Linked DNA regions of Callithrix jacchus. The protein of the gene in region 1 interacts with the protein of each later gene in a biochemical or structural test. Links are inferred from orthologs where the notes say so. Each region holds a gene or a part of one and is shown on either strand. Other genes may lie near its edges.

The links.
Region 2: the proteins of HSP90AA1 (region 1) and AHR form a complex in vitro, tested with the Homo sapiens proteins (2 studies listed by BioGRID). The link is inferred for Callithrix jacchus from reciprocal best matches to the Homo sapiens genes HSP90AA1 and AHR.

Annotation. Positions count from the first base shown.
Region 1 is NC_133509.1:137,003,789-137,007,843, reverse strand, and holds the start of HSP90AA1 (heat shock protein HSP 90-alpha), read left to right. Parts: upstream 1-1,255; 5' UTR 1,256-1,317; intron 1,318-1,836; coding exon 1,837-1,998; intron 1,999-2,086; coding exon 2,087-2,453; intron 2,454-2,735; coding exon 2,736-2,869; intron 2,870-3,463; coding exon 3,464-3,784; intron 3,785-3,901; coding exon 3,902-4,055. UniProt on the Homo sapiens protein: Molecular chaperone that promotes the maturation, structural maintenance and proper regulation of specific target proteins involved for instance in cell cycle control and signal transduction.
Region 2 is NC_133512.1:41,143,186-41,147,453, reverse strand, and holds the start of AHR (aryl hydrocarbon receptor), read left to right. Parts: upstream 1-1,468; 5' UTR 1,469-2,091; coding exon 2,092-2,156; intron 2,157-4,268. UniProt on the Homo sapiens protein: Ligand-activated transcription factor that enables cells to adapt to changing conditions by sensing compounds from the environment, diet, microbiome and cellular metabolism, and which plays important roles in development, immunity and cancer.

The DNA of each region.
Region 1 (4,055 bases):
GCCCCATCATGGGAGGCGCCAGAGACAAAGAGGAGGAGGACATGGGCCAGGCAGGGGAACCAGGGTGATGACCTGAGCCAGGTCTAAGGAACCACCACGCCTCCAAGGTTCTCACAGCTGACGCTGGCCAAAATATCGTAAAATTCTCATGTCCAAACTGGCTCTTCCAGCCTGGGTAACATGGTGAAACCCCGTGTCTACAAATAAATACAAAAAATAGCCGGGCGTCGCGTCGGCGCCTGTGGTCCCAGCTACTCGGGAGGTTGAGGCAGGAGAATCACCTGAGCCCGGGAGGTCGAAGTTGCGAGTGAGCCGAGGTTGCGCCATGGCACCCCAGCCGGGGCGACAGAGGGAGAGCCTGTCCCAAAAATACAAACAAAAAACCCAAAACCTGGCTTTTAGGGCAAGTTAATCACCCAAGAATTCTTAGATACTTCACTTGGAGACCTCAAATAAATCGATCGGCAAAACGATGCGCTTTTTAAAATCATGCCTGGTGCAGCTGGGTGAGCATGAACTTGTTCCCCAAATTCAGGGACCCTGACGTGTAAAGGACCCGGCTTTGGGAACCCAAAGGTAGGGGGCGCTGCCGAGCACCCCCGAGCCGGACAGCGTCCTCAGTGAGCAGCAGCAGGTGGCCCACGGCCCGCCCGCCCCCAGGGAGCAGAGCCCCGCGATCCCAGCGCCGCCAGGCTCTGCGGCAGCAGGACCACGACTCCGGCAGTCTACCCGGCGCGTGAGACCCGGGGCGCTCCCGTCCACGCACGACCCTCCGTTCAGGCGCGCCTCCCGCCCAGGCCCCGCGCTCCGTTCAGCCGGGTTGTCAAGAGGCGGGGCGCTCTCACGGCACCCGCACATGGGTGACCGACTACACCTCACTTTCGCGCATTTCACAAAGGCCCCCACGTCCGGGCGTGCCCGGTGGGTGGGGGTGCAGGGCGGAGAGCGCGGGCGGCCGGGAAAGGCGCCCGGACCTTCCCGAGAATTCCGAGCTGCGCAGGCGCCTTGAGGCTGGCGCGGGGGCGTGCAGGGGGCGCGCAGCGGCTGTTGAGGGAGGGTTGCCCGGGCCGGGCCACGCGCGGGGCCTGCGCGCGCCAGGGGGAGGGGCGGGCCGCGGCGAGGGCGCAGGCGCAGGCGCGCGGCCGCGGCGGCAGTTGGGGAGGGTTCTTCCGGAAGGTTCGGGAGGCTTCTGGAAAAAGCGCCGCGCGCTGGGCGGGCCCGTCGCTATATAAGGCAGGCGCGGGGGCGGCGCGCCAGTTGCTTCGGCGTCCTGGTGCTTCAGCTGCGCTGCGGAGCCCGTGCGGTCCTTCAGCCAAGGTAAGGGGCGGTTGGGGGAGGCTGGTGGAGGGGGATTGGGGGCCGGAGGCGGCGGGGGCTGGGCCGGGGCCCTGAATCCGCCGGGGCCGCGCTCCCCACTCCGGAGGCCTCCGCACCCGCTTCAGGAATGGGCCGGGCGGCCGCGGGCTCCCCGAGGCTCTTCAGCCGCAGCGGGACAGAGGGCCGGGCTGCGGGAGAACCCCCGACCAGCCTGGCTGGGGCGAGGGGCCGAGGAGGCCGCGGTGCGGGCGGATGCGGGAGGGTGCGGGCTGGCCGGCGGGGAGCGCGGCGGGGACTGGGCCCGGGCCCGCAGCCGCCTCCCGGAAGCGCGCGCACGCTCCTGGCGGTTACCGCGCTGCGGAATGAGGTCATCCTTTGTCAGCCGCCCTTCTATTTTCGGTTCACTTAAAACTCCGCAAATCTCCTGTTGGGCTTTAAAAACGTGGAGGGCGCGACGGCATTTCGTGTAGCCCCTGTAGACATCCTGCAGGGTGTGAGACCGCCTCGCTGTCCTTCCAGATGCCCGAGGAAACCCAGACCCAAGACCAGCCGATGGAGGAGGAGGAGGTGGAGACGTTCGCCTTTCAGGCAGAAATTGCCCAGTTGATGTCCCTGATCATCAATACTTTCTATTCCAACAAAGAGATCTTTCTGAGAGAGCTCATTTCAAATTCCTCGGATGTAAGTCGCTTGTTAACTCGGAGTAGGGTTTTGGTTTCAGTGGGGTTGGGTGGGGGCTGCATGCTTAATTTGTAATTTTTGTTGATAGGCATTGGACAAAATCCGGTATGAGAGCTTGACGGATCCCAGTAAATTGGACTCTGGGAAAGAGCTGCATATTAACCTCATACCAAACAAACAAGATCGAACCCTCACTATTGTGGATACTGGAATTGGAATGACCAAGGCTGACTTGATCAATAACCTTGGTACTATCGCCAAGTCTGGGACCAAAGCGTTCATGGAAGCTTTGCAGGCTGGTGCAGATATCTCTATGATTGGCCAGTTTGGTGTTGGTTTTTATTCTGCGTATTTGGTTGCTGAGAAAGTAACGGTGATCACCAAACATAACGACGATGAGCAGTACGCCTGGGAGTCCTCAGCAGGGGGGTCATTCACAGTGAGGACAGACACAGGTAGGCGCCCGAGCATGCACGGGTTAGTCAGTGGCGGGAGGGTGGGATGCTGCAGCCCTTGGACCTCTGAGGCTTCCAGCAAGTTGTGTTTGCCCAACGTTGAGGAACAAGCTAGAGCACTTAATATGGCATGACTTGCTTACTACTTTGTGGCAAGGCACCTAGACCTGTTGTGGGAACCTTTTCATCTGTAGTAATGGCAAGTCTTGATAGATCTGAGTGAGGCATGGCTTGAACGCTAAGTTGATTGGATTATTGAGTCAATTTTCCCTACTTCTGCAGGTGAACCTATGGGTCGTGGAACCAAGGTTATCCTACACCTGAAGGAAGACCAAACTGAGTACTTGGAGGAACGAAGAATAAAGGAGATTGTGAAGAAACATTCTCAGTTTATTGGCTATCCCATTACTCTTTTTGTAAGTTTCTATGTAATTGCAGAGTGAATGCCATGCACAGTGGCTCACGCCTATAATCTTAGCACTTTGGGAGGCTGAGGTGGGTGGATTACGAGGTCAAGAGATCGAGACCATCCTGGTCAACTTGGTGAAACCCCGTCTCTACTAAAAATACAAAAAATTAGCTGGGCATGGTGGCGCGTGCCTGTAAGCCCAGCTACTCGGGAGGCTGAGGCAGGAGAATTGCCTGAACCAAGAAGGTGGAGGTTGTGGTGAGCCGAGATCCGCGCCATTGCACTCCAGCCTGGGTAACAAGCGAAACTCTGTCTTTAAAAAAAAAAAAAAAAAAAATTGCAGAGTGAGTTACTCTCTGTAGATGACTGGGGTGACTGAGCTACATCCTTATTCCTTAGATCTGTTGAACTTGGGTTGTTATTTATTAGTGTGGAGCCTGGGGAACCTAAGCTCTATCTACTACCTTAGTCTATAAGATACGTTGATGAGAAGCTGCCTGGCTGCTTCTGGCTTGGCTGACTAGGCTTTGGCCTTAGTTGAAAATAGTTGCTCAGTGTTACCAGTTGCAGCAGTGATGTGATTTCACGTCTTGTTTTGAAGGTGGAGAAGGAACGTGATAAAGAAGTCAGTGATGATGAGGCTGAAGAAAAGGAAGATAAAGAAGAAGAAAAAGAGAAAGAAGAGAAAGAGTCTGAAGATAAACCTGAAATTGAAGATGTTGGTTCTGATGAAGAAGAAGAAGAAAAAAAGGATGGTGACAAGAAGAAGAAGAAAAAGATTAAGGAAAAGTACATCGATCAAGAAGAACTCAACAAAACAAAGCCCATCTGGACCAGAAATCCTGACGATATTACTAATGAGGAGTATGGAGAATTCTACAAGAGCTTGACCAATGACTGGGAAGATCACTTGGCAGTGAAGGTGAGTGACTGAGTGGTGCTTCGAGCTTGTCCTTAGTTACTGTCTTTCCTCTTCCACCACAGATACCTTCTGTAATGCATTGTTCATTGGTACTTAAGTGTGTATGTTTTATTACAGCATTTTTCAGTTGAAGGACAGTTGGAATTCAGAGCCCTTCTATTTGTCCCACGACGTGCTCCTTTTGACCTGTTTGAAAACAGAAAGAAAAAGAATAACATCAAGTTGTATGTACGCAGAGTTTTCATCATGGATAACTGTGAGGAACTAATCC
Region 2 (4,268 bases), on another chromosome or scaffold:
CCCTACACAGTTTGTCTCCACCTGCTCTCAGCTGCTCAGTATCGCCCATTTAAAAAAACAGAACTGGCCGGGCAAGGTGTCTGACGCCTGTAATCCCAGCACTTTGGTAGGCGGAGGCAGGTGGATCACGAGATACACGAGGTCAAGATATCAAGACCATCATGACCAACATGGTGAAACCCTGTCTCTACTAATAATAAAAATTTGCTGGGTGTGGTTGTGTGCACCTGTAGTCCCAGCTACTCGGGAGGCTGAGGCAGGAGAATTGCTCCAGCCTGGGAGGCTGAAGTTGCATTGAACCTATATCACGCTACTGCACTCCAGTCTGGTGAAAGAGTGACACTGTCTAAAAAAAAAAAAAAAAACTGGCTGGGCGCGGTGGCTCACGCCTGTAATCCTAGCACTTTGGGAGGCCGAGGCGAGTGAATCACGAGTTCAACAGATCGAGACCATCCTGGTCAACATGGTGAAACCCCGTCTCTACTAAAAAAAACAAAAAATTAGCTGGGCATGGTGGCGCGTGCCTGTAATCCCAGCTACTCAGGAGGCTGAGGCAGGAGTATTGCCTGAACCCAGGAGGCGGAGGTTGCGGTGAGCCGAGATCGCGCCATTGCACTCCAGCCTGGGTAACAAGAGCAAAACTCCGTCTCAAAAAAAAAAAAGAAAGAAAGAAACTAAACCAAAATAAAATTAGAAAACCCTCATTTAATTCCTCATTCCCATAACCTACCATCTGATGTCTCTCTCATCCACAGCTAAACATGGAAAAAGAAATGTCTGCTTGACTATGCCACTTCTTCATCTCCGGCTCAATCCTGTACCCACTTCAATGTTATTTGCAGGCCCATCACCCCACCAACACAGCATTCACGGAAGTCATCAGTGAGTACCTATTTAGAAGACAAAATGACATTTTCAGTTCTCACCTAATTTGAATTTCTCAAAAGTATTCAATACTATTAACTACTCCCAATATTTTTCCATATTGTCCTCCATGACACAACACATAATAGTCCCCTTATTTTCTATTTTCCTGTCTATTGTAGAGACTTCCCGCATACACCACCCCAAAAAAGGTCAATGAAACGCCTAGCCTTCAAGTCTCAACTAAAATCTGGCTTCTAACGCCTCCCCAACTAGGAAAATATATAGTCCCATTGGTTGTCTACCAGTTTCTTGTAATTCTTAGCCATAAGTTAGCTGATCCACCGTCCCTCAGACAGGTGAAGTTAAGCTCAGTATTTGTCATATCTTGATATACAGTCTAGTTAAAAAGAGTTTGCATATGTAAGAAGATGGCTACCGGGGGGCGTTGTTACGTCCTACGTCATCACGTGCCGGGATGAGGGTGGGGCCCTCAAGGAAGATGGAATGGAATCCAGTGGGCGGGGGCAAGAGGACGGGGCGGGGCTACGCAGGATCTGGGCGGGGCGGGGCCGGTGAGGGGTCGGGGGCGCTTCTGCTATTCAGCCGGTGCGCGCGGCGGCGGGAGGCAGTGGCGGGTTAGTCCCCTTGACGCTCTATTCCGAGCGTGCCTTGGACCGCCAGCTCAGACCAGAGACAGCCGTGTAACTGAACGGAAGCTGGAGGCAGCGGGGACTAGTGCCCGGCGCTGGAGCTCTGCAGGCGGGAAGCACCCAGCATTTGGGAAGTCCCGGGAGCAGTACGGCGGCGCCTCCTTCGCCCAAGGGGCCGCGGCGGCGGTCACGGGGCGCGGCGCCACCGTGCGCGACCCAGGCCAGGATTCTAAATAGCCCAGGCTCCTCCTCCTCCCGGGCCGCCTCACCTGCGGGCATTGCCGCGCCGCCTCTGCCGGTGTAGACCGCACCTGCGCCGCTTCGCTCGCGGGTCTCCGCCCCTCGCCACCCCTCACGGCGCCAGGCCCGGGCAGCTCACCTGGACTGGCGCGGAGTGCGGGAGCCGGGTCGCTGAAGCGCGGCGCTCACGCCGCTGTCCGGAGAGGACGCAGGTGGAGCGGGCAAGACTTCGCGGAACCCGGCGCCGGCCTCCGCAGTTGTCCCAGCAGACACCGAGTCCCGGGGACCCGGACGCCCGTGCCCGAGGAGGAGCCGCCGCCGCCGGCTGGGCACCATGAACACCAGCAGCGCCAACATCACCTATGCCAGTCGCAAGCGGCGGAAGCCGGTGCAGAAAACGTGAGTGTCCGGAGCGCGTCCTCATCGCGGGGGCTGGGCGCTCTGGCACGCGGGTGCGGGAGGCAGCCCCACCCCGCCCCCAAATCCCTGCGATCCTGGGGATTAGGTTCTTTCCCGGCACTGCCTGTGGAATTGTGGTTTGGAGGCCGGTCGGGAGACCGAGGACTTGGATTCTCCAGTTTTCAATGATTGCATTTTAAAAAGTGCCCTCCCACCCATCCTCGGCCCCCGCGCCAGTGCACACGCACCCTCTCACATCTGCAACTTTTTCTCTCTTCTTTGGTCCTAATTTGTTGACAGCTCTCATCTGCCTTGTGCTGGTGGATTACTTAGTATAAACCTGTCGAAATCTCCTTCCACTTCTAATATCCGCATGGGTTAAGTTAGAGGACGGTCTTAGTTCTTCTTCTTGGTAGAGTTTGGTAGGACAAGATGTTTTAAAGAGCAAAACACGTGGCGAATTTTTGCGAAGGGGCAGTGACTCTAAAGGTACTTTTTGGTCCCCACCAAATGGCTTTCTATTGCGCTCTTATTTGGCAGCGATTTTGTAGCGCTCATCGTGATTGTATTGGTAAAGTGGATAGAAGTGGTAGCAGGTGGGAGTGGATGCAATGGACAGGATACGGTGGAGGATTTGTATTCCTCAGACACCTTTTTGGGAAACTTGCTTATCACTTTTGGGGTGGTTTTAGGATCTGTAAAATAAAAGATTTAGAACTATATTTGAGAGAGGTTTTCATTCTTAACATCTACCTCTAACTCTTTTTCGCTTCGAAGTTTTGTTACTTCTAATAGAGTCAGTACAAACTTGCTTATGAGGTCGGTTGATTTTGGTGGGATATTTGTGTGAGATGGCAAATACTATAATTTTTTTTTTTTTTTTTCAGAGAAAAACTAGCCGTGCTTGAAATATTTCCTTTTGTGAGGTGGTTGTATTCCCGTGTTTATTCCAGTTTTTTTATTTCTAATTTTATCTGAGTTACTTTACATATTTTTCAAGTTTCCGTAAACAATTTTAGGACTCTTAAACGTCTTCTCAGACCAAATTAGAAGTGTGCATTTTCCTTAGATTTTACCTAACACTAATGGGAACCAGAGAAATAACAGTTTAAGATTTACGTGTAAAATCAATTATTGGTTTAAAGGTACATTCTAGAATTCAACTTCCTTTCAGAATTTCAGTTATCGTAGTTCTTCAGAACTACACATATAAATTGGCATTAAGAGGATAATTATAAATAGACTGATTAAAATTTGGAAGTTTTACAGTATAGTGTGTCTTAAGGGAATATTGTCAGACTAGCAGTTTTCTACCTTGGCAGTTTGAGACATTGGTTTATACTACTTTTAATTTTGTAGAATGGTTTCTTAAAGTATGTTTGTTTGAAGGACAATTTGACATTGTCCTTGATGGTTCAAGTTGGGAGGCATCCCAAATGTCTGTTCTATGTATTTATTAATACACTTAGCATCATGTATAATAGGTATATTAATGGGTTTTATGTGTATTGTCAGAAAACGGGAAGATCTCCCTGATGTGTTTTTAAAATACCGGGTTCCAGTTAGCGTATTATAAAAGGACTTGGATGGCTTTGAAAACAAAAACAAATGCCATAATTTTGTACAGTTTAACATTTATGGATTCTAATTTAGATGGTAATGTTTTAATATATTACATTTTTCTTTTGCATAAAATGTAACTTGTTAGATTATCTTAATATTTTAATACACTTTCTTAGTCTTTAATGTACTTGTTTTTAATAATTTCCTATAACAAAAGTATTTTCCTGATTCAGCCCACATTTTATTTTATTAGTGTAGATGTTTATCTGATCTCTGCTGAGCACTGTACATTGCTTCTAATCATAAAGATGCCTTAAATATCACCAGCTTGTTCTGTAAGAAAAGCCTAGTGCTGGCGTTTTCATTGTCAAATGAAAGTGTTTATATAAATTATTTTTACCTGAATAAATAATGGTTAATTTTATAATGCAGTTAATTAAAGTTTATTTTAGGAATGAAATCATTAAACCTGATATTAAATTTAGTATTAGTTTTAAAATTAAAGTACTAGTTTGTGGCCTAATTAGGCCCAAAATATGCCAACATTGG